Rattus norvegicus: one gene and its partners. The protein of the gene in region 7 purifies or fractionates together with the protein of the main gene of each other region. This does not show direct contact. Links are inferred from orthologs where the notes say so. Each region holds a gene or a part of one and is shown on either strand. Other genes may lie near its edges.

Region 1 (4,290 bases), on a different chromosome or scaffold from region 7:
AAACTTTCTCATGACACAACCTAGTAGGCACTCCTAAATATCCTCTCTGTGTTCCTGGCATCAAGCAAACTCCTGATACCTAGTAAATAAACTCAGAAGTGTTAAAAGCTAACCATCTTATAAACAGCACTGTCGAGTAAAGAAGACAGGCCAAGTGAAATGGTGCACATCTTTATTCCCGCACTGGAGAATATGCAGGTGGCTCTCTTTGAGTTTCAGGCCTCCCAAGGCTACAAGTAAGGCCCTGGATTAGCTTCAGGAGCTTTGCAACAAGCAGTACTGCTTCACCTATGTGGAGTTAATAAAAGAGTGATATTTTAAGGGAGTGTCAATAATTTGTCATAGCATCACATATCCTCAAAAATACTCTGACACTGGTACTTTCTATTTCTTTTTTTAGGACCATTTTGGATTTCTATTTTCTTTTTATTCTTAGTAAGTAATGATGAGACTGTCAATGTCAATATATTATTTACCTTGGTATGGAGGATTATGCTAAGCCAAAACCGTTTCAAATAAGGCTTTCTTTGAATACAATGACATTTCTAATTGCTTTTCTATCTGTAGGCCCATGTGTCTTTAAATGTCTGTTGTACAGATGGGCAGTGGTAGTGCATGGCTTAATCCTGATCAGGAGCCTCCAGATCTGTTAGTGAGGTAAGCGTGCTCTACAGACTGAGTTCCAGAACAACTCAGGCTGTTAACTGTCTCAAGCCCGACCCCCACCTCCAAAGCTAGTCACAAACATTACGGAGCTCTTGCCTGCTCTAGGTTTACGTCAGATACTGGTCATAAAAAATAAAGGAGGCCTAGCCTCTGTTTTGGCGTTTATAAATGAGATAATACAACAAAAGTTTTAAAGTAATTATTACTGCATCGAATGCTACATAGCAATGAGATTGCTATTAACTGAAACTGAACACAGCATGCTGGATCCGGGTATCTACCTGGACTCTGGCTGGGGCACTGCTTAAGATTAGGAGCTTGTGGTCAGTCTGGTAACATAGGATTGTCACATACAGCCAAGTGTACTCTCTCTGTCTCCTTCTGTCTCTCTGTGTCTCTGTCTCTGTCTGTCTCTCTGTGTCTGTCTGTCTCTCTCTCTCACACACAAAAGCTGGCCTGACTCTGATCCGTAAACGCAACACTCATAGACTGAGGCAGGAGTTCTGGCTAACCTGGGCTACATAGTGATTCCAGACCAGCTTAAGCTACACAGTGGGACCATTCTCTAAAAATCAAAAGAAACAATTAACTGAAATAATTTGTGAGTTTCTGATACTTAATGGAAACTTGACAGTAGGTAGATATGTAAATGTTGACAGAGTTTCTCAACAGCACTGGCTGCACCTTACATCAAATCCAGTGAGAACTGGATCTTTTACATTGGAATGCCACATTTTGGGTTTTTTTTTTGTTTGCTTGTTCCTTTTTTTTTTTCCCCCTCTCTCTTTTTGACACAGGGTCTAAGTAGTCTCTGAACTATCTAGATCAGGCTGGCCTCAAACTCAAAAAGATCTTCCTGCCTCTGCTACCGCAGTGCTGGGATTAAAGACCTGTATCACCAGTCCTGGCTTTAAAAAAATGTCTTTACAAGAGAACTACAAATGAACACTTTAATAAAGTAATGATAGTTCTCACAGCAAGTCTAGAATACATTCTGACTATATCCACTTTGACATGCCATTCATTTGCTCGTCGATGCCAAAAAGGTTTGAGGATCTAGCTCAGAGTTCCAACTCCGGTGCGTTCCCTGGGGAAGCCAAAGGGGTGTGTGTGTGTGTGTGTGTGTGTGTGTGCGCTTGTGTTTAGTTCCCTGCATGGCAGCAAACGAACCCGTTAGTGAGAACCCAAAGGAGCAAAAAGCAGAAACAAAAACAGAACTTCCTTTTTCATGTCAAGCAGGCAATTTGGTTCTTTTAAATCTGTGTTAAAGCTCACAATAGGACTAGAGAGATGGCTCAGGGATCAAGAGCACTGTCTGCTCTTCCTGAGGTCCTGAGTTCAAGTCCCAGCAACCACATGGTGTCTCACAACTATCCATAGTGAGATCTGATGCCCTCTTCTGGCCTGCAGGCATACATGCAGGCAGAAAACTTTATGATGTATACACAATTAATAAAAAAAAAAAAAAAAAAAAAAAAAAAAAGCTCACAATAACCCAAAATGTTGGTCACCTCTTTAAACATGGTTCTTTTGGCCAAACCACTAAAAACATCTCCGCCAAACTTATCACGCTCTTTTCTTCAGAGCGCCGATCATTTATCATTTCACGGCCTTCTCCTTTCTCCCACTCAGAGCACCAGCACCTCTGAGCGTCTGATAGTGACCGAGACAATAAACTTGGTTCAGAGGAATAATAATGAAGGATGGACCTTTCCACTTGAAGTGGGGCGTTCCCAAAAGACGCCTGCTCAAGTCCGCTAACACACCCACAAGCAGCCAAGATGGGAAGCGAACTAAAAGGTTGAATGCTTTCAAGATAGACTGGCGCACCTGATACTGGGAGAGAGGGGGCTCCACGCTGCCACCACTGGGGCCTCGAAGGCGAACCACCAAAAAGGCACTGCCTTCTGCGTCCCACAGGAACAGTTCCCCTCCGAGGCCGAAGACCAGGTTTCTCGTCGGCAAATGCGGCGGCAGAGGCGGGCATGAAGGTGAAGTCGAAGTCGCTGGTTTATCCGCTTCGGCTGGACTCTGGTTTTTCAGACCTTCGCGGAGTCGCAAGAACACGACGTGGTTAGGAAGCCAGCTCTGCCACAGCTCCCCATCGCCCACAGGCCCCGCGGCAGCCGCCATCTTGGACCAACAGCTCTCGATTGAGGGGCGGGGGGGGGGAAACTCATGCTGCGCGTAGCCAATCCGTGGCCAGCATTCCACGCTTTAGCCTATAAGAGAGTAGGAATCCCGAGGAGTTGACCCAATAAGAAAGCATCGCTAGGGGAAAGACAGGGCTGCAGGTTGACGCCAAAGTGGGCTGGGCGGGGCGGAGTCAAGTGTGGGTTTAGGGAAGGCTTTGGTGCTACTGCTGGGCCAGTGTGTAGTAGCATTAAGAATGAGAGAGGTATATCTGATTGTCTACTGGACACCTTCCTCTGGGTAAACCCAGAACTTTCTCTCAAGACTCTCACCTTCCTCAGCCCACTTCTCAACTGCCACTGCTTCACCCATCCTTGGATTTCCCTAAATCTGTCTCTGTGCGGAGATAAGAGACTAACGCCCAGAAACTATAACTTCCAGAATCCTTTGCGTGCGTACAGGGGGCGGGGATTTGGGCGTCGCTTAAGGGATGAGATGGCCGAATCCTCGGGGTCTCCGCACCGCTTATTGTACAAGCAGGTGGGCTCGCCCCCGTGGAAAGAAACTTTCAGGCAGGTGAGTCTGAGGTTTGGGTCGTAATCACTTTTCTAACCTGTCCCAAGGATCTCTGTGTGCTCGCTTTAGCATTCGTCGTGGAGCAGGTGCCCTGTGTGATCTTCAACTCAAGTGTTTTGCTTTAGGACTGGGTCCTGGCTGCCGCCCTCTTCCTCCCGGGCTTTTGGCCCGAGTAGGTATTATTTTATCCCAGGATCCGACTTTGTTTAAAATTTTAAGTGTCATTACAGCAGTAGCAACATCACCACCTAACGTTGGGTTACAGAGGGAAGCACTCCATATGCACACATGGCGTGAGGAGTTCTTTTCTGAAGAGTCAGAAGAACATCAGTCACTGTTAGGAGAGTTGTACGTAAGCTCTCGTATCTTCTGAACTCAAGTAGTATTTCCCTGTTTGAAGCAGTATTTCCCTGTTCAGTAGTCTCTAAAGGAATGGGTGTATTCCAGAAGAACAACCCAGAAAAACAGTACTGAAAATATTATGTGTAGTAGTGTTTCTCAACAGTGAATGCTGACATTTTGAGGAGAAAGTTCTATTATGGGAGATTGTTCTGTACGATGTAGAACACTTAGATGCAGCATCCTTGGCGCCTCTACCTACAAAGTGGCATCAGTCAATAGCAGTTCTTCAAGCAGAGCTGAGACAACCACTTGGGGGTGGAGAGATCGCTCAACGTTAAGAGCACTTATGCTTTTGCAGAAGACCTGGTGGCTGTAACTGGTGTGGTGCACATAAACTCATATAGGCACACACATATACATGGGACCCTCCCCGGCCCCCAGGTTGTAAAGAACTATTGTACAAGAAGACCATTACTATAGCCATGGGTACAGTTGCAGGAATTTAGAATCCATATAAATGTCTGAAGTTAGTCTGTGGATACAGTTACTATGTATCCAACTGCCTTCATTCAG
Region 2 (4,337 bases), on a different chromosome or scaffold from region 7:
AAGAAACTAGGCTGCCATTTGAGACTGGGTAAGGGTTATAGACAAAGAATAACACACATGTTGGACACATAGCATGGGCTGGGTACTGGCCAAAGCTCAGGGTGGCAGGCCTCCAAGGATGACCACCAAGCACAACTGAAATTAAGATGGGTTTAGGGGTGGGGGAAGCATCTGGGTGGGACCCCAGGACAGAAAAAGGTTGTGCAGCCTTGGCTGTGACGGAAGCACCACAGGGAAGAGACTATGAGCTGGTACCCACTCTGCACTGTCTTTGAAACCTATCTCATTCCAAAAGTTTACTTTAAAATACTAAATTCAAGGAAAGGAGGACCATAGGCATTGCAACATGGCATACTGTTTCAAAAATAAAAAAGGGCACCTGTGGGGCCCAGGGATGCAGCTCAGGTGGTAGAATGCCTGTCTAGCATGCAATGCATGAAGCCATGGGTCCATTCCACTTCTGTATTAGTGGCAGCCTTTATGCATCAGTATCTAGTCTAAACAGACTCCACACAGAATTAATGCAGCCCATAGCTGGTAAGCTAGGGCTGGAGTCTGAACACATCACATCTCATGGTTACCTGTACTGGCAGCAGATACGAGTGCCCACTCCAGGCTGGAGAGATGTCTCAGCGCTTAAGAACACTGACCCGGGTTGGGGATTTGGCTCAGTGGTAAAGCACTTGCCTAGCAAGCGCAAGGCCCTGGGTTTGGTCCCCAGCTCCGAAAAAAAGAAAAAAGGGGTGGTGGTGGTGGTTGGGGATTTAGCCCAGTGGTAGAGTGCTTGCCTAGCAAGCGTAAGGCCCTGGGTTCGGTCCCCAGCTCTGGGAAAAAAAAAAAAAAAAAAAAAAAACACTGACCCATCCAAAGGTCCTGAGTTCAATTCCCAGCAACCACATGGTGGCTCACAACCATCTGTAATGGGATCTGATACCCTCTTCTGGTGTGTCTGAAGACAGCTACAGTGTACTCATACATAAATCTTTTAAGAGAGCCCACTCCAAGAGTAAAATTGCCAAGGACTTCCTGCTTGTAACTTTCAAAATCAGTTTTCCTCACCTGCTCCAATCTTTTTTCTTTTACAGTACCAGGAATAGAAACCAGGTCCTGGAAAGCAGCACTCTAGCCAATACTCTGCCACCAATCCCCCACCCCCAGCCCAGTATAATTGTTTTTTTAAATCAGGGTCTTTGTAAGTTCCCTAGAAGGCTAAGAACTCACTTTCTAGTCCAGGCAAGCCATGAACTTTTTTTTTTTAAATCACACTCCTAGTCAGCATTCAGACCTGTCACCACACGTGGTGATGGTGAAGGCCAGAGGACAACCGTCTGTCTATAGAGTTGCTTTTGGGTTCTGGGGATGGAACTCAAGAGGGTTGGGTTTAGAGATTACCACCTGAACTATCTCAAAGCAGCTCAGGCCCTGACCTTGACTTCCAATACTCCCGCCTTGGCCTCTTAAGTAGGTAAGATACCAGGCCTGGCCTTTGAGCTTTTTCTTTTTAAAAACACACTGAGGCCAGCCAGTATGACCTTGAATTCATGATTCCTTCTGCTTCCATCTTCCAAATGCTGGGAATATAGACAACTACCAAGCACCGTCCATGTGGTGCTGGGTGCTAAGGTTCTTGTGTGCAACAGGCAAGCACTCTTGAGTTCCATCTCCACCCATTCAGTCTCTCAGCTGCTACAAATATGATAGGCTGACTGGCTTCCACATGGAATGACGGCTATACTCGAACACGGGGCGGAAAACCGCCCCATCATCCTGGGGGACAGACAGGATCAAGAAACAATTTATCTAGTGGGGTCAGCAAGAGAGCAAGGACTGCAAGGAAGTCAGAGCAAGGGGCAAAACCTAAGAGGGTGGCATGATGAGCACAGCATGTAGCAAGTAGGGATGGCTGGAAACAGAAACCTTGGAGGTGGGACACACAGAATGATCATATGGATATGTTGGCTGGCTAAGAATCGGGGGTAGGGAGATAAAAAGGGGTGAAATCAGGCCCCCTCCCAGGGGTGGGGGCTTAATCTAAAAGAAAATAAAACGATTTTAGTAGTAGATGAAATGACTCAGTGGAGAAAGGCTGCCAAACAATCTGACCTGAGTTCCATCCCTGGGACCCTACTATATAGTAGGAGAACCAACTCCTGCTAGCTCTTCTTTGACCACCACATACATACACAATAAACGTTAAAACAAACAAGAAGGTTTAAGAGTCCTGATTAGGACTCCGTGGCCTACTTTCCATAGCTGGTATATTTGTGCGTATATCTATAAACAGCGACATCTCGCTGTTGCTCCCTTGAACTCGTCTATGAAGCCTAAGCTAGCTTGAACTCGCCATTCCGCGATGAGCTTAACCCACGAGGTCTCTCGGAGCGACATCGGTTTTAGGGACTGGTGGCAAATTTGTGAAGCAGGGATAGATAACGGGATGAGCTGGTTACGGGTGTAAGAGAGATCGAATAGGATCCAACCGATACAGGAAACAGAGTCCGGGCCCCCAGCCTGAAGCAGTGAGTGAAGGGTCAGGGCGACATGGCGGGCCCGGGGTCGCCACCGCCCCGTCGGGGCCCCGCGAGGGCGGAGCGCGGAGGGATCCAGGCATCCCGCGCTGCGCCGCCCCCGGTATATTTGTTCCCAGGCCCCGGGGCCGCCTCATTTTCAACCCTCTCAGCAGTCTCCCTTAACGCTCCTGCCACGCCGCCTCCGCCCGTGCAATGGCTCTGTAGCCGCGATCTCGTCGTGTCCCCCGCCCCGTTTCCGCGCTCACCGCGACTTCACTCTCTGCTCACACCGACTCTTCAACTGAGGCCGCCGCCGCCGTTGCCTCCTCTCCTTTTCGCAGCCATGGAGTGAGTAACCGCTCGCCCCTCCCTCTCCAACCGCCTTTCCCGCCCTTTCACAGAGCTCGCGGGGCTTCACGGGTCAGCCTCGTGGGGAGGGGGTGGGGAAGACGATATGAGGAACCACGGTCGCGCAGGCGCAGAAGAGGGAAGTCGGTGGCCGGCGCATCCGCTGAGCAAGCGCACTAGGCTCCAGGCGTGGGGGAGGGTGTGCTTCCGCAGAGTCTGGGGGCTTTTAAGGTCGGTTCGCGCGCCATTGCGCCTGCGCACTAATTCACAGACCCTCTTCCTCCTTTCCCCTCAGAGGATACGAACCCACACTCTATTGCGCATGCGCATTACCTTATTCCCGGCCTGAACTACGGAGGGCGGCCGGTAATTGGCTAAACACACGCACTGGTCCCCCCAGGAGGGTAGTGGCGTAACAATGAATCCGGTCCAGGGTCTGAGCTTTCGTCTTGCGGCTTAGCGAGCAATCAGCGAGGAAGGGTGGAGTTCCTCGAGGCTCTGACACTGGTCCAACTTCCCTCCAATCAGGCACCTGCTGGGGCGGGGACTGGCTTAGATTGACAGGGAAGGCTAAAGAACACCTTTAAGAAAGACTTGGAGCTAGAACCAAGGGGCGGGGCCTCTAGGGACTTGCTAGTTGGGGGCGGGAACTGACTTGACAGACAGGAGTGTGGGCGGGGCTTCCCGTAGAATCTGTAGAAGTCACCTAAAACTTTTAAGGGAAGAGTGGGATTTGTGTGTGTAACACTGATGAAGGGCCCAAGGCATGGCAGAATTATTCTGGGAACCCCTGTGAACTCTAAAGGGCGTATAGTCTAAAGAAAATATTGATGCGGAAGGGGCACGGCTAGAAGAAAATAAAATTACCTTGGGATTGAATTTTTTTACGAAGAGCAATAAGATGAGGTAGGTAGGAGGGGCTGGAAGTAATTCCCCTGGGAGAACACTAGGTTTCTGTGTTGAGGGAGGAGATGGGGCTGGGGAGTTTCCAAAAGTTGCCTTGGGAATGTATGGAGCTCTGGAATTTGCAGAAAGAAGAAAAGTGTGGGTAGCTTGTGGGTCAAGCAGCTTTGACTCAACCCCACCCACGCCACCTTGTCTTCCTCACAGGCCCTCCACCTTCGCCTTGGTGCCTGTCTTCACCCAGCTGAACAATCTTCCACGCTGCCTCCCAGTTGTTGGTGCAGCCTCCATTGCCATCGCAGCCCTGCACCTGTGCCTCAGCCATGTCACTCCTGGCGACCCTGGGACTGGAGCTGGACAGGGCCCTGCTCCCAGCTAGCGGGCTGGGCTGGCTCGTAGACTATGGGAAACTCCCCCTGGCCCCTGCCCCCCTGGGCCCCTATGAGGTCCTTGGGGGTGCCCTGGAGGGCGGGCTTCCAGGGGGGGGAGAGCCCCTGGCAGGTAAGAAACAGGTGAAAAAGAGAGGTGGGTTAAGGTGGCGGGGTGTGGAAGGACAGAAAAGGAAGGATTTATTCA
Region 3 (4,197 bases), on a different chromosome or scaffold from region 7:
TATTCCCACAGGATGTCCTCAAACCTACACACACACACACACACACACACACACACACACACACACAGAGAGAGAGAGACAGACAGACAGAGAGACAGAGAGACAGAGACAGAGAATTAAGACAAATATGTAAATAAAAAATTAGTGACTACCCCAAGAGGTTGGCAGTCTAAGAAACTCCACTTCCTAAGGATTACCTAAATGCACAGTTTTAAGAATAATCAAAAGAATATAAAAAGAGGGGGAATCCACAGGCCTCCAAAGCGTAAGAGAATTTTTACCTTAAAATTTAAAGTTTTTGTTATAAATATCACATCCCAAATTCTAACCACTACTGTTCAGATCACACACATTCACCAACCGCCCTAGGGGGTTGCCTACAAATCCAAAAAATGTTATCAAAATGTAACTTTTTTTAATCTCTATCACTAACTTTAAGAATGTAGTAAGAAATTTACATCTTCCGGTCTTTACGATACAAAAACTATACATGAAGTGAAAAGTAAGTACTAAGAATATTTTGAAATAACTACAGCTCTCAGGAAGAGATCAGAAAATACAGACACACACACACACACACACACACACACACACAGTGTCTGTTGCAGACTTGGAATAGCGGTAATAGCAGTGGAAAGCAAACTTTATCCCTCAACAGACAAAAGGGATGATGTGCGTATAACCACATTATCTAATATGCAGACATTGATGTCACTCTGCTTCTTTAACTTCTTGCTGTGGGTATTTTCATGTTAGATCAATCACTCTGTATACTCCCTGAAATCTCCTAACATCTTAAAAAGACATGTTGATAATCCCTAAATCTAAAGCAGCACACCAACTGCTTCCCTGCTACAGATGTTTGAAAGGAAAACCGTCAATAATAAAAAATTCAGTATCATCCTTGGGGACCATGCAAAGGTTGAGTGGTTAAAGGCACTCACCACCAAGCTTGATGACCTGAGGTCCATGCCCCAGAACCCACAGGATAAATGGAAAGACCCACAAATGCAAGTGTCAAACAAATAAATAATAAATAAATAAATGTTAAAAAATTTCATAAGAAGCCAGCTCTCCTCCCCTTCAGACACGTTTCCTTTTCAAACTTTACACGGAGGACTGGTGTGAGTGTGTGTTCATTTTTTTTTTCAGGCAAAAAAGAAATCCCACAAGATCCATAAAGTCAAGAGACATACATAGACCCCTCTTCTTGGGCTTGACCCAAGAAGACCTGCTGACTCTATCCTTTCCCACCTTTCTCCCCAAAAACTAGCTATGCGGGAAAACCTAAAAGCCCTAAAAGGAAATCCCCTTTGTGGCCTCATAAAAAAAAAATAACTTTTATAAAGAATAACTATGCATGTATTCACCACTCCGCATCAATGCTAACGGCAAAGCAAGGCCAGCAAGAGAAGGAAATGTTACAATACTGTTTTGTTACAATACTGCTGAATGCCTTACCTCTACCTGAAATCCCTCAGACACCGCTTCCTCCAGCACAAATTGATTCTCCCGCAGTAGGCCACGCGGCTGCTGTTTAAACACCACCTAGATGCTACTTGGCCACGTCCTAAGCATGCTCTCCCACGTCACCTACTGATTACCTGTATCAAAACACACAGCCCGCAGCTGGGCCCCCTCCGGCCTCCCGAAGCAAGCCCTCGTGTGTGCAGCTCACCCTTTTATAGTGGAGGCATGTGATGCGCGTATCTGCACCAGCTGTTCCTAATTACCTCTCAGACTGGGGTGAATGACTCAGCAACACAAACTCTTTTAAAGAGTCACCCTACCTTGTTAGCCAACCAACGTAGTGAACAAAGGGAAGCCACTTGACAGATCCGACGACGGTTAAACAACAAGAGTCGATCACTCCTCCAAAGCTACTCAACTCCAAGATGACTCACCAGGAGCCTTTTTTCCCCTAGACTCCCTTATGAGGTCCAAAGCCAGAAGTGGCAAGCGCCTTCAAGCCCAGCCCAGAGCTTGCACCACTACCACAAGAGCAGGAAGAATAGGCCAACCCATACCTCTTCCCATTTCTCTGTAGCGCTCAAAGGCTCGACCAGTAACAAATCTACGGTGCTCATCCTTTAATCTTTCTGAACTGCCTTCCCTGCAAACACAGTAGTCTGAAAGGAGTGCTCGAATACCTAAACAAAGACCCAGCAGGGGCATCCTCCGAGGCAAGCAGTCACAACACTACAGTTCTCCAAAAAAGAACAGCATCCTGCAAAAACAGTCTTTGTTCTTCCAAGCCTGTCGCAGGAGCTGGATTTTCCCACACACGTTCTTTCAGAATTACTACGTCTGCCTTGACTCAGCGCACGCTGAGCGTAGAGAGCTCACTACATAAAAGCCAGCGGCGCAATTCCACTAAATGACACCAAAGTACCGGAGAAGATCGAGAACGCGTTGGCCCTGGCGCTACCAGACACGAACACAAAGCTGATGTCTATCATCGAGACCCCACTCTGCCTATGCTGTGCGAGTCTAAATTACAAACGTGCGGCGAGCTACAACAAAGGGGAGCGCGGACCGCCGGCTGGTCCCGGAACCCCGGCCGGCTCGGCCTTGCCCCCGCAGCAGGCGGAGCGGGACGCGGCCCGCGGAGCGCGGTGCAGGGCGGCGCCGGCACGGCCGACCCGGAGTGTCCGCGCACCGCGTAAACAGCACGCAGTCCGCCGCCCCTTCTAGGCCCGCGCGGCCGCCCGCCACCAGCCCCGGTGACCCCCGGGAAGGACGGCAGCCCGCACCGTCCGAGCCACTCACCGGAGCCGAGGCGCGGCACGGCCCGACTGCAGGCGGCAAGCGGCGGTCAGGTGACTCACTCCCTCCGCGCGGACGGCCGCCCGTCTCCTCCCCTGCGCTCCGCTCCACTCCGCCACCGCCGCCAGCGCCTCCCGGCGCTAAAGCCCCGCCCCGCCCCAGGCCCCGCCTCCTGGCTGAAGCCCCGCCGAGCTCCAGGCCACGCCCGTGTCTGAGCCACGCCCCGCTCCAGGCCACGCCCTCCGCTGGTAGGATCTCTATTTCGCCTTGGGCGAACTCGGTGTAACGTTGTGGAGCAAAGTACTGTGTGCCCAGGCCTCCAACCGCGTGCCCTACCTCCTCTGCCTTTGGTGGCAAGGTTACACGTCCCGGGAGACCACCTCCTCTAACCTGCTGAAGGTAAAAAAAAGAAAAAAAAAAAGAAAAACCTGACGTCTCCACGACCCCTGAGTTGTTGTTCTCGCCACCCACACACAACAGATTAGGTTAGGGTCTTCTGCCCCACAACCTCCAGAAACCTCGGAAGTTCGGTTCAGCTAAGCTCCTGTGCTGCTTTCCTGTAGGAGCGTGAGAACCAAGTGTTTGAACTTGCCGAAAAGGGTGTGTCAACATCTGTCTGAAGCTAGGCAGGACTTTTAGGAGCAGATTCTGAGAGGAGAAGGCTGTTGCCCTTCTAAATGATCACTAACTCCCCTTCAAGTTGTTTGTGTCCGATGAGGCCCTTCCTCGAAAACCACAAGGCATGTATGTAACCTGGACTGTGCTTTGCTCATTATAACCCTTTAATATGCATGCTTCCCTGATCAAATCCTTTCGCTGCTTGTACTCAGCCCGACACTGCTTTGAGAGTAATTCCTGTGCCCTTCACAGTTGCCTGAATAATCTGCACTCTTATTTACTAGCTGTATTCACCAACAAGCAAACACATTGTACCGGCCTTTACATCCGGAATAATGTACTAAGCATCTGGTAGCCTACTTCTGTCCTTCTATGCTGTACCACCAGGAACCATGAACGCCGGTTCAATGTCCTGTTGATGTCAGCCATCGTTCCTCAAGTCCTGCCCCTGCTTTTATCCTCAGCTACTTATTTGAATGCTTGTCCAATTGTTCGTTTTTATTTTTTTTATTATGTTCACGGTTCAAGGCAGTGTCTTTCTGCAAGGCTGCATGCACTCTCCACAAGGCTTATCAGTCTGGAGAAGGGGTGTGCTGGGCTGACTGACCTGATTAGAAATGAGGAAGGAATTACCACCCCAGAGGCCTGTAGCCCCTGAGACGTGTAGCCCTGGTAGGATTTCTGGAAAGAAATCGTGTTGCTGGCTTTGAGTTCTAGTGGAAAGATGCAGAAAAATGGGTAGCCCCAAAATGCAATGTACTCCTTAAACACACATGACAGGCCAGGGGCTCCAGGCAAGGGGTTGCTACCCAG
Region 4 (3,599 bases), on a different chromosome or scaffold from region 7:
AATACACCGAAATAAAGGACATTCCAATTCATAGTTATAAACATATATTTTGAATCTTTAACAAAATTAAACATGTCAGAAGTCATTGAAAGAAGTTATTATTGTTTAGTCAGCCAATAGGAAACCAGGAGCAATAAATTATAACCAATAAATTATTCTCTTATAGATAAGAGTTAATTACATGAAAAGAAGTACCTTGCATATTGGAACAATTTCCACAGAAAAAGTACTCTTGTAATTGTATGTGTTACTATGAATATCCTGGGAGATCAATCTTTGTGATGATTTGTATCTATTAAGAAAAAAACATTATCAATAGAATATAAAATGGACTACTCAATATTTCATGATTGTTTAAATGTGCATACTAAAATTTTTATTGTAACAAAGTAAGTTATCTAAACTGAAGAACAGGTGTGACCTATATATTTCCTATTCCCATATCCTTGGACTTACAAATTTAGGTTTACAACATACCTACAGGGAACTGTACCCTGAAGAAACTCCACCATCTTCTGAGCATGCTGTTTTGAAGAATAATAAAAATCCAGACCATCTAAAAAAATATTAAAAACAGTTCTGAAGAGTTTTCCTCTTCAGGACCACATCACAATACTATTAGAAAATATTATAGCCTAAACAGTTTAGGAATATCAATTAAGACTTCTTTGGCAAAAAGGCAGATGAAAATCAAATAAAATAAATGTTAACAAATGAAAACAAGATTCGTACTAATTCACAAGAACAAAATTCAAGGCCAAGAGAGAAAAAGAATACCTTATGTAATAAATGAAATAAATGAAACCTGCCAAGAAAAATGACTAAAATCACATGCATGAAAAAATTACATACTGAGACTGAACAAAGCAGTCATTGATAACAATATCTATCTCAGTGCAGAATCATTTAACACTATCAACAAAGGAACACTCAAGTACAAACCTACTGCTAAGGACTTATGAGACCTAAATAAGAACTTCATTTACCCATAGTAGGTATAACAATACCAAGGAAAATAAACAAATTCATAGGACTTAACATTTCTAGACATAAAATTAAGACAGTATGGAACTAGCATAAAATAATAAGCTCATGCAAACTTGAGATTGCAGAAATAGGCTATGATATTTAATCAACAGAACTTAGCAATTAATGGCATTTTTTAATAGAGAAAGAATAATTTCTTCAGTCCCAAAAGAGATGAATTTAGGCACTTCACATCAATTCAAGAGTGAGGATCTATGAGTTAAAATTGTAAAGCACATAAAACATAGGATACCTTTGTAACCTTAAGTGCCTAGAAGAGGTTTAGACCAGATGAGTCACTTAGAAAGAACACTCTTCAACCTGCTGAGTGGCCTGTGTGTACAGTATGGTCCTGGTTCCCAGCTTTTTGAGCTGTCACACATGTTGAGAGCTTTGGTGATGCAGCTGACTTTGAGTAGTTTCTACTCCTGTCAGTAACCCCAATAAAACATACCGCTTCAACAAGTTGAATTTTGGTGGTGGACATAACTTTTGGTCCATAGTGGAATCCCTATCTGGGGTGAGTAGATGTATGCGTTGCACCTCCCAGCCCCGGGGAAAACTTGTTACCCAACAACTGAACCTCATCAAACTTGAAAACTGGGGCTGGAGAGATGTCTAAGCAGTTTAAGAGGCTCTTGCAGAGGACTTTGGTTCAGTTTCTAGCACCAATATGGCAGCTCACAGCCCTCTGTAACTCTAATTCCAGGGAGCATCTGTCCAATTCCAGGAAGCATCTAATGTCTTCCTCTGGCCTCTGTGGGCACTACACACACATGTTGCATTTACATACATGCAGGCAAGACATTCATACATGTCGAAAATATATTTTAAAAGAAAACAAGAAATAAGTATTTACAATAGAAAATAACAACATTTAGAAAAGGAAGACAGTCTAGGAGAAAATACTGCAAATCACATAGGCAATAAATTTATATGTAGAATATGCCTCATATCATTAGTCTTTAGTGAAATGGAAAAGCCACAGGAAGATATCACTACAGACTCCCCTCTACAATGTCTATAAACAAGCAATTAAAGGACAGAATCTGGGACCTTTCAACACTTCTGTCAGGAATATAAAGACCACAGCCATTTGAAAATATGGTTTCTCAAACATAACCATCAATATAAATATTCCATATAACTCAGCACTTCTACCTATAAGTATAGCCTCAAAGACAGAGGTCAAAAGATGCCTGAAGATGACAGATGTTTCCTAAATTCCACAGTATGGCATATGGCCGAACAAACAAAAATACATAAATAAATGTAATGAAAAATTATTATTAAATAGGAGAACTATGTGAAAGAGATCAATGTCTTAAAAAGAAATGAAATGACTTATGCCTAGGAAGTGCCTAACTAAATAGCTTAATGGACAAGTTCTTCAAAAGCACAGTTAATAACACTGAAGAAAAATAAAAGACAAACTTTGTAACTCTCTTAACCATTACCAGCAAACATCTAGACAAATGAAAGCTTACTAGTGCTGGGAAAGTATACTTGCACTGTTGTGGGACATCAAAATTTATATTTGGATTCTCTTTGTGCAGTCATTCCAATTCAATCAATTCCCAAGAAAAACTATTATACATGCACAAAGACGAACATATGAATAATTATTCAATGCTATTCTGGGTAAAAAATAACTAGAAGTCCATTCAAATTGATATCAATTATAAATCAATTTATATATCCAGTGACTAAGGACTATCAGACAGCAATTAAAAATAATTAAATGGAACTATATGCATTATTGGTAATTTTTCCAAATGTGTTAAAGAAAAATCAAAGTAATGAAACACTACATGAGGACAACTACTTAGAACTTTCAGAGTATATTTTGTTTTAAGGAATTACATTATCTTTAGAGATGGCACATGGATAAAGGCAAAGTACAGGAGGGTCTGTTTATTTACACATACTTTGAATTTTTAGATTCTTAAATACACCCTTTGTTTCTATTTGTGTGTGTGTGTGTGCGCGCGCACACATGCGCACAGGTATGTAAGGTACCAATAGGATAAAGAAAGCATTAGACTCCCTGGAGCTTGTAATTACAGGTGGATTTTGAACCACTGAAAACAAGGGTTTGCAACCAAACTCAGTCCTCTAAAAGAACCACCAGCTCTTACCTGCTGAGTCATCTCTCCAGCTCCAATTATTATTTTTGTTTGAGTTACAAAAGTACAACTAAATTAGTAAAGAAAACAGACTTTAGTTGAAAGAAGGGTTTTTATACCTGCAGTGTTGGGGTTTGGCAGTAATTTTAAAATGTACCCAGTCTTCTGACAACAAAGCATTCTGTGGGAATAATTTCTACCATGGTCTTTAGCTAGAATACAAATGTGTTCCCTGTCTCATACTTCTTTTTTTTCTTTCACAAAACAGACTCTTATGTTGCGCAGACATATGTTGCTTATACAGAGGATGACCTTCAAATGCTTGTTCCTCCTGCCTCCAACCCCCAAGTGTCAAGACTACAGGCATGCAGGACCACCCAGCTTAGTTTCTTTATCAACACACTTTTGCCTGGGTATTAGCCAATAAACAAACTAATACACAAGACA
Region 5 (3,599 bases), on a different chromosome or scaffold from region 7:
CTGAAAATTAAAAGGTTATTTCAGAGCTGGGCAAGGTGGTACGAGCCTGTAATCCCAGCACCTGAAAGGCTGAGATAAGAGAATTTGTAAACTCAAAGCCAATCTGGAATCCAGAAACCCTGTCTCAAGATATCGAAGACAGAAGTCAAAGGAAACTAAGTCACAAGTACAGTTTGAAGCCAGGCCCTTCCGGGAGATCTCGGTCACTGACTTACCTCTGGGTCGTCTGTGTAGTCAAACATCCTGAAGATGACCCTGGGCATTGGGTACACGGAGTCTTCGGTGTGAGGCGGTGGTGTGAAAGGAGGCAGGTTGTGCTGTAGTGCTTCACAGAGGATGCTGTCAAAGGCAAGGTAGGGTCTTAGGATGTGCCTTTCCTGCCACCGGTCCTTTTTCAATTTCTGAATCTGGGCCCACAGGCAATCTAAATACTAAAAAGAGATTTTAATATTTAGTAGACACATTTTGGTTAAACAATACAGAAAAGTCGACCCTCTAGAATACACAACATGTATCAGTATGTCATATAGTAGTAAGGAACGGCATTTTTTGTTTTCATTTAAAATTACATTAATGTGCATGCACTTGCCACAGCATTGCATGTAGGTCAGAGGGCAGCTCCTGCCAGGGCCGCTCTCCCTCCGCAGTCCCGGCTCTATCTCAGGCCGCCCGCATTCCATTTCTCCTTAAGCAGTTTGTTTTCAGAAGCACATTTAGAGTTATTACTTCCTAGGTAAGCGCTCTACCACTGAGCTAAATCCCCAGCCCCACTTCTGCTATTTTTAAAACTGAGTATTTAGATATAAAACTTGTCAAGTCTGTGAAAACTGGTATTCTAAAAAGCAAAGGGGTGTTTCAATTACATTCTACCATCTACTAAAGAGCTCCGACTATGCTTCAGACTCTGAGGAAATGAATTTCTCACTGGAAACATTAGGAACCCAGCCAAGATGTACAGATGCAACAGTCAGAACATTTTCTAAGGCTGTGGTTTTACTCATTTGTGCAGCACTACAGAGCTCAGAGGACAACCTGCAGGAACCAGTCCCTCTTTCCACCATGTGGTCCTGAGAACTGAATGCCAGGCAGGGTTGGGAGCAGCACTTTTACCCACTGAGCCATCTCACTGACTCAGTTTAAGCATGTTACAGAGATCAGAATCCACTCAAGAGCTGCGTTTCTATTACAAGACGGAAGTCAATTCACCTCTTCTTGGGGGTGTGGCTTATCGGCAGTCCATACTTGTAACATGGGCACATGAGTCTTCTGGCGTCTTCTAAAGATAAAAATGAAAATCTACACTTAGGGTGTAAAACATAAAAGACATTCAATGGTTCTCATGATTAGCTAAAGCAATGAAAGACATCTCTGTCCATCAGATCAGCAGATCAACGTTTTTGATAATGGTCTACATATCATCAGGATATAGGCATTTCTGTATCTCAACCACTGATGGCACAAGGGTTAATTGGTACAACCTCAACTCTGGAAGAGATTATGTCTCTGGAAGACAATCTGACTACATATGTCAAAATTCTCAACTGTTCTGAATCTTTACCCAACAATGTCATTTCTATGTTTCTATGTCTATGTAATGTCATCAGTATCATGTCTGAACTTCGTCCAGTCAACTCAGCAGCCTGAGCAGAAGGGTAATTTTGAGCCACAGGTGACTCTCAGCTTAGGAACACTAGAGCCGCAGAGGCGCTGTCATACGCGGTGTTGAAAGGCTCGTTGCTAGCTTGATGCACTAACAAAGTCCTGAGGTCTTGTGAGTCACCGCAGCAGGAGAATGCAATTTAATGAACATTTTCTACAACTTTATGGTTCTGTTTTGTCTTTTAAAATGGAACTGAAACGGTGCTGCTGCTACCAGAGAACTTAAGGCACTTGTTGGGTCAGCAGACATCTTTATGCAAACAACAAAGCGCACCTGAGTGATGGCCTTACTTGAGATAGCTTTCGGTGCTGGAGAAGATGCGGTCCATTTCTGCATCTTTCTTTTCATACAACTCCTTCCCAACCCAGGGCAAGGATGACAGAAACGCGTACACATACCAATCCCGTCGCACCTGAACAAGTTTAAAAGGGTAATAAAAAAGTGCATGCTAGTTAATTTTATTTATTAATTATTCTTTCTTTCCACGGTTAGATGCTAGGCAAGCATTCTATAACTGGGCTAAACAACTCCCTTCCGCCACACCTTTTTTTATTTATAAATGCAATACTGGGGAGGCTTTTCAATAGAGCTTAAATAAAATATCTGGCTAACCCAGAGAATTTCCAAATATCTATTTCTAATCTTATTAAAATCATTTGAATTAACACAAAGATATCAAAAGGACCCACCAGTGAGACAGCTGACTTGCCCTTCAGATATTAAACATTACAGTGTGATAATGTTATTGGATTTTATTGCTGTTCTCAGTGGGAAAAACAAAAACAAAAACCTCAGTAACGGTGCTGCACAGAAAAGATTCAAGATAAAGGGTGCTTACTTGAGGCACATCTTCTTCCTGAGTTACACTTACAAAATTCTCAAACATAGCAACCATAGATGGGGCAGCAATCACATGACAGTTCACAAGATCAGACAGAAAACGGACCTGTGAGGGTAAACGATATCTGTATCAAACCTAACAGTCCTTCATAACTTACAAAACAACCTCATATCAGCCTACGAAACTAAAACCCACGCCTATACCCAGCTTACTATCTTCTTGTTTGTGGGACCTGTCAGCCAAGAAATCTTTAAATGTAAGGCTTAAAACAATATTTACACAAAGCGACATGAATTCAAATTTCAGTGCCCAGAAGCACACCTGCAGTGGGGGCAGCTCAGGCCCACTCGGTTACGTGCACTACAGCACACCAGGTTATGCTACATTTAGCACCCAGACATTCAAATACTCCAGTTACTCCATTCTACTGAAGTAGGTTGGTCTTTCTGTTTGGCTAGGAATCATTTTTGCTGAAATATAGAAACAGAAGTTTTAAATGAGAGACATTTACTGGGTGTCTGGTATGTGCCAGACTCAGTAAACAGTGCTCAGGAACTATTTTAGGAGCTCAGCCTATGTGGGACAACCACGAGCTAAACAAAAAGGGATCACTCTTGCACTAAAAGGTAAATTAAAAGACACATAAAGGCTCTGTACTGCAGAAAGAATCTAAGAGCCAGAGGTTGGGAGGAGTTTGTGAAATGCTGTCTTCTGGACAGGACATGGCCACAACACTCACAACCTTACAGCAGTTACACAAAACATATACAAAACTGGGCAGGTCAATTTTCCTTCACGGATAAGGACGGAGCCCATAAGGCCTCACCCTTTCCAGAAGAGCTACTGAGAGCTAACTGTTGAGGCTGGCTGTAGTTCTGTATTGTAATACTAAATACCAGCCCTGGTCACCTCAGGAACCAGGTCATCTTCACTTAACCAAGTGATACTCTGCAACCTTGCCCCACAAGTTATCCCCGATTGGTCAGTAAAGATGCCTACAGCAGGGCAGAAGAGAAATAGGTATGGCTTAGGTTCTAGAGCAGAGGTTAAGAGGGAGGAAGGGAGGGAGAGAAGTGAAAAGTGGGAGAAGATGCTAGG
Region 6 (4,249 bases), on a different chromosome or scaffold from region 7:
GGGATCTGATGCCCTCTTCTGGTGTGTCTGAGGACAGCTACAGTGTACGCATAAGCAGTAAATCATGCTTAAAGCCTGCACATACATGAACTTGGTTATGGCCCCACTGCCTTCCCAGAGGTGCATTTTCTGGGTTTCTCACAAAAAGACAGTTCTGTTTACAATAAACTGAAGTCTCCACACCTCTAGGGTACAATCTGTCAGAATCTTACCCAGGACACCCCAAGGTCATTCCATTTCTCAGTCACTTTCTGAAGACTTGCTCTGTGTGTGTAAAGACAGTTACACACTGCTTGGAGAAGCCCGTGTGTGTGTGTGTGTGTGTGTGTGTGTGTGTGTGTGTGTGTGTGTAAAGACAGTTACACACTGCTTGGAGAAGCCCACGTGTGTGTGTGTGTGTGTGTGTGTGTGTGTGTGTGTGTGTGTGTGTGTGTGTGTATAGACAGTTACACATTGCTTGGAGAAGCCCATGTATGTACCCTTTCCCTGAGCACATTGCTAACAGTCCCTGTGCTTAAATCACTGGTTCTCAACCTGTGAGTCACAACCACTTGGGGAACTCTACTCAGTCCGGGCTTCTGGAAAAGCAGCCAGTGCTCTTAATGGGCCATCTCTCCAGCTTCAAAGCCATCTATTTTTAACTTCATGTGTGGGTTTGTGCATTGGGAATGCACAAACATGCAGACTGCAGAAGGTGCTGGAGCCTCTGGAGCTGCTAAATGTGGATGCTGAGACTCAAACTCCCGTTCTCTGAAGAGTGGTATAACCCTCACCCATCGAGCCATTTCTCAGGCCATTTAGATAAAATCTCCCCATGTGCTATATATATATATATATATATATATATATATATATATATATTTTTTTTTTTTCCCCCCACAAAACCTGAGGTAGAAAACAAGGTTAAAATTGTTGTTCTGAAGGAGTGGCACGTGCCTTTAGTCTGAGCACTCAGCAGAGTTCCAGGACAGCTAAGGTTACATAGAGAAACCCCGCCCCCCCCCCACCCAAATACCTCACCCCAGCAATAGATAAAAATAATATTGTTGCTCTTCCAGAGAAACTTGGTTGGAGTGCCAGCATCCACATGGTGGCTCATAACCATCTAAGTCCATTTCTCGGGGTTCCCATACACACGGTACACAAAAACACAGGCAGGCAACATTGACACATTAGTAAGGGGCTAGAGACATGCTTTGGCCATTAAGAGCATTGATTGCTCTCTCCCAGAGGACCCAGGTTCAATTTCCAGCACCACCCACATGGCAGCTCAGAAGTATAGGGCTCTAGATAGGGAAGCGGACACTTTCATAGTTACATGTGCACGCAAAACACTGATGCACAAATTATATACTTGAAAACTTTTAAAAAAAATAAATCTTGGGCTGGGGATTTAGCTCAGTGGTAGAGCGCTTACCTAGGAAGCGCAAGGCCCTGGGTTCGGTCCCCAGCTCCGAAAAAAAGAACCAAAAAAAAAAAATAAATAAATAAATCTTGAAAAAAATTAAGGAGGCGGGTTAAGACTTTAATCCCAGACTTAGGGAGGGAGAGGAGGGAAAATCTATGAGCTGGAGGCCGGCCCACTCTACAGAAGGAATTCCAGAATAGCTAAGGCTACAGAAACATTGTGTTGAAAGACAAAAGGGAGAGTCCAGCAAGTTATCAATAATCATAGATGGGGGATCGGGATTTTCTATTCAGGATTAAGCTATTAAATACTTGTGTCTAAGTGCATACATGCTCTCTCTGCATTTACATGCCTGTGTTCATGGAGCCCAGGGTATTAGGTGGGTGCTGCTATGTATCAGGTGCACTAACCACTGAACCATCGCTAACCCCATTTTTTTTTTTGTTTTTTTCGGAGCTGGGGACCGAACCCAGGGCCTTGCGCTTCCCGCTAACCCCATCATTAATCTCTTTATAAGACCCTGTTTGTGGCACACCTGTAATTACAGCACAGACAGGTGGAGCCTGAAGTCAACCTGATCTACAGATTTCCAGGTCAGGACTCACAGGGAACCATCTATTATACACTGGCTGGGATCTTAGCTGTTCTGTGTGCATGTATGGACATGCCACAAGAGGCCATCAGATCCCATCATAGTTCTGAGGCACCAAGTGGTTGGCAAGAACTGAACCTAAGACCCCCGGAAGAGCAGCCACCACTGGTAAGATTCCCCAACATTTTTAGGAGACAAGACTCACTGTGTAGCCCTAGATGGCCTCTGCCTGGGACTAACCTTTCCTGTTAATTTAGGGTATCATGCACAGTAAGGCAAGCATTAAGCTACACTCCCCAGTCCTGTATACTTATTAAGCATTAAATTGTAAGCATGTCTACGTAGCTGGGCATTTGAAGGTTACCAAGACAACTGTGATTGAGGACAACCTCTGAAACTGGGAGGTTGGCAATTCTGAAGCAAGGGTGCTTGCATAGGAACAGAAATTGTACTTTAAATCCAGGCAGCTCATCTCACAGAATGCAAGATTTAGTCTCTGACCTCAAGAAAAATTCCTCTTGCACCTTGAAGCCTAGGTACATATTCCTACCCAGGGTCCTCAAGAAACTTAAGGGCAGGTGAAATAGCTGAAGGCAGACTTACACACAGAACCTCCCAAGGTCACCGGATTCCACTCTGGAGTATAAACATTAGCTAGTGTCTATTGAGAATGCTGCTCCATCTACCCTTTCTGTCAGAGGGGGCCACAGATGCAAGTATTGCCCCACTGCAGGCCCAATTTATTTCCAAGAACAGGGAAACATACCAGCATCTTCAGGCCTACCTTCGAGGTGCCCCCTCAATGCCCCCATCATTGAGGGCCCTGACTGCTCCGTGGAGGCAGGCAGCAAGGAGTCATCAACTTCCCATTATGACCTCAGGATCTGTCCACCTTCTATCACAAGGCTACCCAGTTTTAGGACTGTCCAAGTTGAACTGCTTAGGACTAACCTCCCAAATTCACTTGACTAGTTTCCCACCCAACACTATCACCAGAGCAGAAGGAATGTAATTTCAGTACTTGGATGGATCAAACATTCACTCGGTTTATCTTGAACCCATCTGTAGCCGTCTGCATGCACACATTAAATCACAAGAAAAGGCATTCAAAAAGCTTTAATTCAAACTTGTCAGGCATATCACAAAGACTCATAGATTACAACTGGATCGAATAACCCATTCTGGATCTGAACTCATGGCTACAATCTTACAGAGAACATGGGAACAAAAAATATAAAGTTTATATAACATGGTCCTGGGGAAACCTCCTGGACCTCAAAAAGGAGAACCATGCTTCATTTTCACAAATCTAGACACAACCTGTATGGAAAATGTAATTGCCAGACAAAATTGAGTAGGCACAAAAGCTTGTCCAGCTTCCAATGGATGAGGCCATAATATGGACAAGATTTCACCAAGCTGCATATAATTAAAAGGCCTCAAAGTCTTTTATCAAGTAAATCAACAGGCACCTGTACAGATAGATCCTCTTCTTTCCTGAAAGAGGGGGAAAAAAAATACCACAAACATTACATTCCCGAAGGCGGCACAGCAAAAGTCTTATCACCTTTAAATTTTTGTTTCCTGCATGGTTTGTCTCCTCAGTCACGGTCCACAGGACTCTGAGAAGTCGTAGGAATATGCAGGCGCAGACTCGAAGCCCAGCTCCATCTCCAACGTTGTGGAAAGGGACTGTACATCATCGGGCAGTACCCTATGCTCCCGTACGCCACTAGGACAGAGCCCGGGGAGAGTGACCTCCCGGGGTATCCACGTTGGAATGTCTGGTTAGTACTCTAAAAATCAGTCAAACTCAACCAATACAGACTACACACACCCCAATTAGTGTCCCACCACTATTAACTTAGACACACGGAACAAAGAACGTACCTCAATGAGTTCTTTGGGATCACTCATCAATTCTGCAATAGAAGACACTCCGTCAGTAAATTAAACGCTTAAAGTACGCAGACCCACCCCCAGATTGCGATTTAAGACTGTTTCCTGCATGGTTTGTCTCCTCAGTCACGGTCCACAGGACTCTGAGAAGTCGTAGGAATATGCAGGCGCAGACTCGAAGCCCAGCTTCATCTCCAACGTTGTGGAAAGGGACTGTACATCATCGGGCGGTACCCTATGCTCCCGTACGCCACTAGGACAGAGCCCGGGGAGAGTGACCTCCCGGGGTATCCACGTTGGATAGTCACGGGAAAGACATTTCTTTTGACAAAATGTCCCATAGTCCTTGT
Region 7 (3,599 bases):
CTTATTTTCCCGATTTTGAGCCTGTTTCTGTAGCTTTGACCGTGTGGATGCATGTGGGAATGGGGAGCTATGTGTGCATAAGTGTACATGCCTGAAGAGACCGGAAGATGACAATGGAGAACTTCAAACCCTGAATTACAGGAGTAATTAAATCTGGATGCTGGGAACCCAAGTCCTCTCTACAAGAGCAGTGCCCACTGTGAAGTGCTAGGCTGCCCTCCACCCATGACCCATGAGCACATCACTTCTATAAACCACAAAGGACTGGGCAGGGACTTGGCACTTAGGAGGACTGGCTGCAGAGCCAGGAACACAGGTTTAAGCCCAATCACCCACACCGTGGTCAAGGTTGTAACTCCAGCTCCATGGTCTCTGATGCCCTCTTCCCAGCTTCTTCATGCACCAGTGAAATAGGAGGTGTACATGCATGCACACACACAAGCAAAAGCTCACACACGTTTAATAATAAGCACTATGATATGACATGTATACCTGCTGAGGCTGAAGATCACAAATTATAGTATTTATGTTGTTTAAAATCTCATCAATAAACGGCATTACTTCTCCAACTTGAACCTGAACAAAATGTCTACGGCATTTTTGAGCTATTTTAATAAATGTGTCACAAGCCATGTCCTGGACTCCATCATGGGTTTCTGGCAAAGTAAAAACATTCATTCATTCACTTTTGGTTCAACATAACAAATAAAAAGTAAAATTAGATACCATGAGTTTATTAGGTGAGACTTACCATGCATGAATTCGAAAAGCTTGTTTACTACTGTCTTCAAAAATTTCCAGTGTGCTCTCAGAAACCGTGGGTACTGGCCTACTATGTACATGATATTCGATGCAATGATGGCTTTATTATCCTTGCCTCTCTTCTGCTCACATAATCCTAAGAGGTCCTTGATAACAGTGACAAGGAACCGCTTCTCATCCTCCTCGTGCATCGCCCCACTGATGGAGCCTATTGCCCAGCACAGTGTATTCAAATTTTTCCATGACCATTCTGTACCATTCACTTGATTTTGAAGTTTCTTAGTCATTATTATTTCCGTATCTACATAATCCAGATGGGTAAGATAAACTACAAAAACCAAGAGAAAAATGCAGATGTTTCACATGAAAACAAAATTTTTTCTGCTAAGGTTTAAGAGCATACTGGTAAGCATATGGTTTCTAAAGGAGTCAGGTAAATGTAGAACTTGGACCAAACATTTACTTTTCACAAATATGGCAAAAAAGTATAAAAATTGTCATTTATTTACTTACCTAATGTTTCTCTCATATTCTTATACAAATTTATGGAATCAGTATCCTTCATGAACTCTCTTACAACTTCTCCCTGATCATTTTCTACAACCAGTACCTCCTCTGGTTTAGCCATGCGACTAACCATCAATAAACGAACCTATTGATCAATAAACCAGTAAAGGAACTGTGTTAAGACATTTAGAAGCCACATCAAATATAGGTCAACAGGACTGTGGATCCCTCCCCTATTTAGAGGCTAAGACTGGCTACCAAGTTGGAAATAAAACTTTCAATTAAGGCATAGCCAGCCATACACGCTGGTGAAAACCTGGGAGGCAGATCCACGAAGACCAAGAGGTCAAGGTCAGTCTCAACTAATTAAGACCTACCTACACTTTCAATTGCAAAATGCTTGGTTCTGTGATGCAAGTCTGTAATCTCAGCAGTGGGAAGGCTTTCTAATCTCAAAATTTACTCTTTTGGTTTTTCTGGATAGCCTTGGTTGTTCTCAAACTCGAGATCCACATCCTCTGCCTCCTGAGTGCTAGTATTAAAGGTCATCACCCCGTTTGATCTGTGTTTTTGATCCTATCAATAAACAGTCAACTTCTAATCTATAGACTTCATGTTTTATTGAATGACTAGATCGGGGATAGCCAATGAACAACATACACTTTAGTAAATCCAAATGATGCAAGGATGTTAGCTTAAAAAACATCCTTCTAAAACATTCTTGACAACTGGAAAACCTCTCAAGTTCTCTTCCCAACACTTTAGGCATCAAAGCTATAGTAAGGCTGGAGAGCGCTCACCACCGGTTAGTTCATCATTACCTTGGATAACACGGTCAAGTACAGCTGTCTCCGAGGAGGAATATCAAAGTGCTGACTTCCAGATAACAATGGAGAAGCAGATGTAGAAAATGGACTCTCTCTGTAGAGCTCAGCTGCCAAGTGATTCCAGTACTCAAGACAGATTTTAAAAATTTCAGTTTCTTCCACTTCAGACACCAACAACATGTAATGAAGAGCCTACACATTAAGACCAAAGGAATTAGTATTATCACAAAATTTTCAAATTGCTTCCCCAAACTTAGTAAGAATTAGAAACTAATATTCTGAATCTAGGCACATACATGCCTTTAATCCCATCCCAGCACTTGGGAGGTAGAGAGCCAGGTGGAGGTCAGTCTTGTCTACAGTGTGAGCTCTAGGACAGCCAGCCAGAGCTACAGAGGAAGCCTTGTCTCAAAAAGCAAAACCAAAAAACTATTATTTGAAATACATAAGGAGGGTGCTGGAGAGATGGCTCAGTGGTTAAGAGCACCGACTGCTCTTCCAGAGGTCCTGAGTTCAAATCCCAGCAACCCCATGGTGGCTCACAACCATCTGTAATGAGATCTGATGTCCTCTTCTGGTGTGTTAGAAGACAGCTACAGTGTACTCATATACAAAATAAAATAAAATAAAATAAAAAAATAAATAAATAAATCTTTGAAATACATAAGGAATTTCATTCCTCGAACAGACTGAAAACTGGCAGCAAATTTTTTTCTAACATGCCCTCCAATGTTTCCAGAGTACGTAACAATACAGACTCTTCACACAGCTACGCCCTATAGCTCTGGTGCCAGCTCATAGGAAGGCACAAACTGCACGCCATGCTCAGGAAACCACAAGTTTGAAGTCAGCTACAAGGCCATATGGTGGCAGATGATGGTAAAGCAGAGACTAGAGTCACAGAACTTTGAGAGTGGATGGTTATATATAACCCAATTTCACTCACACCACTACTTTGAGGACTTTGTCTCAACAAAATAAAATACTATAAAGGCTCAGTAAACACAAAACATGAACACGTTCAAAATGAAATATCGGGCTGGAGAGATGGCTCAGCGGTTAAGAGCATTGACTGCTCTTCCAGAGGTCATGAGTTCAAATCCCAGCAACCACATGGTGGCTCACAACCATCTGTAACATCTTCTGGTGTGTCTGAAGACAGTGACAGTGTACTCATCATATATAAAATGAATAAATAAAATCTTAAAAAAAATGAAATATCATATAACAATGAAGAGCATAGTAATGTCAGGGTTGGGGATTTCGCTCAGTGGACTAGCAAGTGGAAGGCCCTGGGTTCGGTCCCCAGCTCCGAAAAAAAGAAAGAGAAAAAGAAAAAATAAAAGAACATAGTAATGTCACAACATACTAAGGTTGGGGATTTAGCTCAGTTGTAGAGCGCTTACCTAGGAAGCGCAAGGCCCTGGGTTCGGTCCCCAGCTCCGAAAAAAAAAGAAAAGGAAAAAAAAAAAAAAAAAAGACTAGAGATACAACATACTAAAA

The links.
Region 1: the proteins of Xpo1 (region 7) and Nup88 purify together in Homo sapiens (affinity purification with mass spectrometry; 3 studies listed by BioGRID and IntAct, with this or other methods). This does not show direct contact. The link is inferred for Rattus norvegicus from reciprocal best matches to the Homo sapiens genes XPO1 and NUP88.
Region 2: the proteins of Xpo1 (region 7) and Nup62 purify together in Homo sapiens (affinity purification with western blotting; 4 studies listed by BioGRID and IntAct, with this or other methods). This does not show direct contact. The link is inferred for Rattus norvegicus from reciprocal best matches to the Homo sapiens genes XPO1 and NUP62.
Region 3: the proteins of Xpo1 (region 7) and Bach1 purify together in Homo sapiens (affinity purification with western blotting; 3 studies listed by BioGRID, with this or other methods). This does not show direct contact. The link is inferred for Rattus norvegicus from reciprocal best matches to the Homo sapiens genes XPO1 and BACH1.
Region 4: the proteins of Xpo1 (region 7) and Nmd3 purify together in Homo sapiens (affinity purification with western blotting; 3 studies listed by BioGRID and IntAct, with this or other methods). This does not show direct contact. The link is inferred for Rattus norvegicus from reciprocal best matches to the Homo sapiens genes XPO1 and NMD3.
Region 5: the proteins of Xpo1 (region 7) and Ncbp1 purify together in Homo sapiens (affinity purification with western blotting; 3 studies listed by BioGRID and IntAct, with this or other methods). This does not show direct contact. The link is inferred for Rattus norvegicus from reciprocal best matches to the Homo sapiens genes XPO1 and NCBP1.
Region 6: the proteins of Xpo1 (region 7) and Rcc1 purify together in Homo sapiens (affinity purification with mass spectrometry; 3 studies listed by BioGRID and IntAct, with this or other methods). This does not show direct contact. The link is inferred for Rattus norvegicus from reciprocal best matches to the Homo sapiens genes XPO1 and RCC1.

What each region holds. Positions count from the first base shown.
Region 1 is NC_086028.1:56,188,014-56,192,303, forward strand, and holds the start of Nup88 (nuclear pore complex protein Nup88), read right to left. Parts: upstream 2,817-4,290; 5' UTR 2,800-2,816; coding exon 2,497-2,799; intron 1-2,496. Other genes in the region: Rpain (RPA-interacting protein), read left to right, coding at 3,295-3,375. UniProt on the Homo sapiens protein: Component of nuclear pore complex.
Region 2 is NC_086019.1:104,434,526-104,438,862, reverse strand, and holds the start of Nup62 (nuclear pore glycoprotein p62), read right to left. Parts: upstream 2,836-4,337; 5' UTR 2,777-2,835; exon of another isoform or gene 1,252-2,776; intron 1,115-1,251; exon of another isoform or gene 1-1,114. Other genes in the region: Atf5 (cyclic AMP-dependent transcription factor ATF-5), read left to right, coding at 4,085-4,262. UniProt on the Homo sapiens protein: Essential component of the nuclear pore complex. The N-terminal is probably involved in nucleocytoplasmic transport.
Region 3 is NC_086029.1:40,424,380-40,428,576, reverse strand, and holds the start of Bach1 (transcription regulator protein BACH1), read right to left. Parts: upstream 2,857-4,197; 5' UTR 2,770-2,856; intron 1,758-2,769; exon of another isoform or gene 1,462-1,757; intron 1-1,461. UniProt on the Homo sapiens protein: Transcriptional regulator that acts as a repressor or activator, depending on the context. Binds to NF-E2 DNA binding sites. Plays important roles in coordinating transcription activation and repression by MAFK.
Region 4 is NC_086020.1:156,332,899-156,336,497, reverse strand, and holds part of Nmd3 (60S ribosomal export protein NMD3), read right to left. Parts: intron 557-3,599; coding exon 478-556; intron 293-477; coding exon 196-292; intron 1-195. UniProt on the Homo sapiens protein: Acts as an adapter for the XPO1/CRM1-mediated export of the 60S ribosomal subunit.
Region 5 is NC_086023.1:65,221,612-65,225,210, reverse strand, and holds part of Ncbp1 (nuclear cap-binding protein subunit 1), read right to left. Parts: intron 2,607-3,599; coding exon 2,499-2,606; intron 2,073-2,498; coding exon 1,951-2,072; intron 1,277-1,950; coding exon 1,207-1,276; intron 432-1,206; coding exon 216-431; intron 1-215. UniProt on the Homo sapiens protein: Component of the cap-binding complex (CBC), which binds cotranscriptionally to the 5'-cap of pre-mRNAs and is involved in various processes such as pre-mRNA splicing, translation regulation, nonsense-mediated mRNA decay, RNA-mediated gene silencing (RNAi) by microRNAs (miRNAs) and mRNA export.
Region 6 is NC_086023.1:149,825,615-149,829,863, forward strand, and holds the start of Rcc1 (regulator of chromosome condensation), read right to left. Parts: upstream 2,818-4,249; 5' UTR 2,785-2,817; exon of another isoform or gene 2,604-2,784; intron 1-2,603. UniProt on the Homo sapiens protein: Guanine-nucleotide releasing factor that promotes the exchange of Ran-bound GDP by GTP, and thereby plays an important role in RAN-mediated functions in nuclear import and mitosis.
Region 7 is NC_086032.1:101,461,851-101,465,449, reverse strand, and holds part of Xpo1 (exportin-1), read right to left. Parts: intron 2,289-3,599; coding exon 2,091-2,288; intron 1,415-2,090; coding exon 1,276-1,414; intron 1,091-1,275; coding exon 752-1,090; intron 657-751; coding exon 493-656; intron 1-492. UniProt on the Homo sapiens protein: Mediates the nuclear export of cellular proteins (cargos) bearing a leucine-rich nuclear export signal (NES) and of RNAs.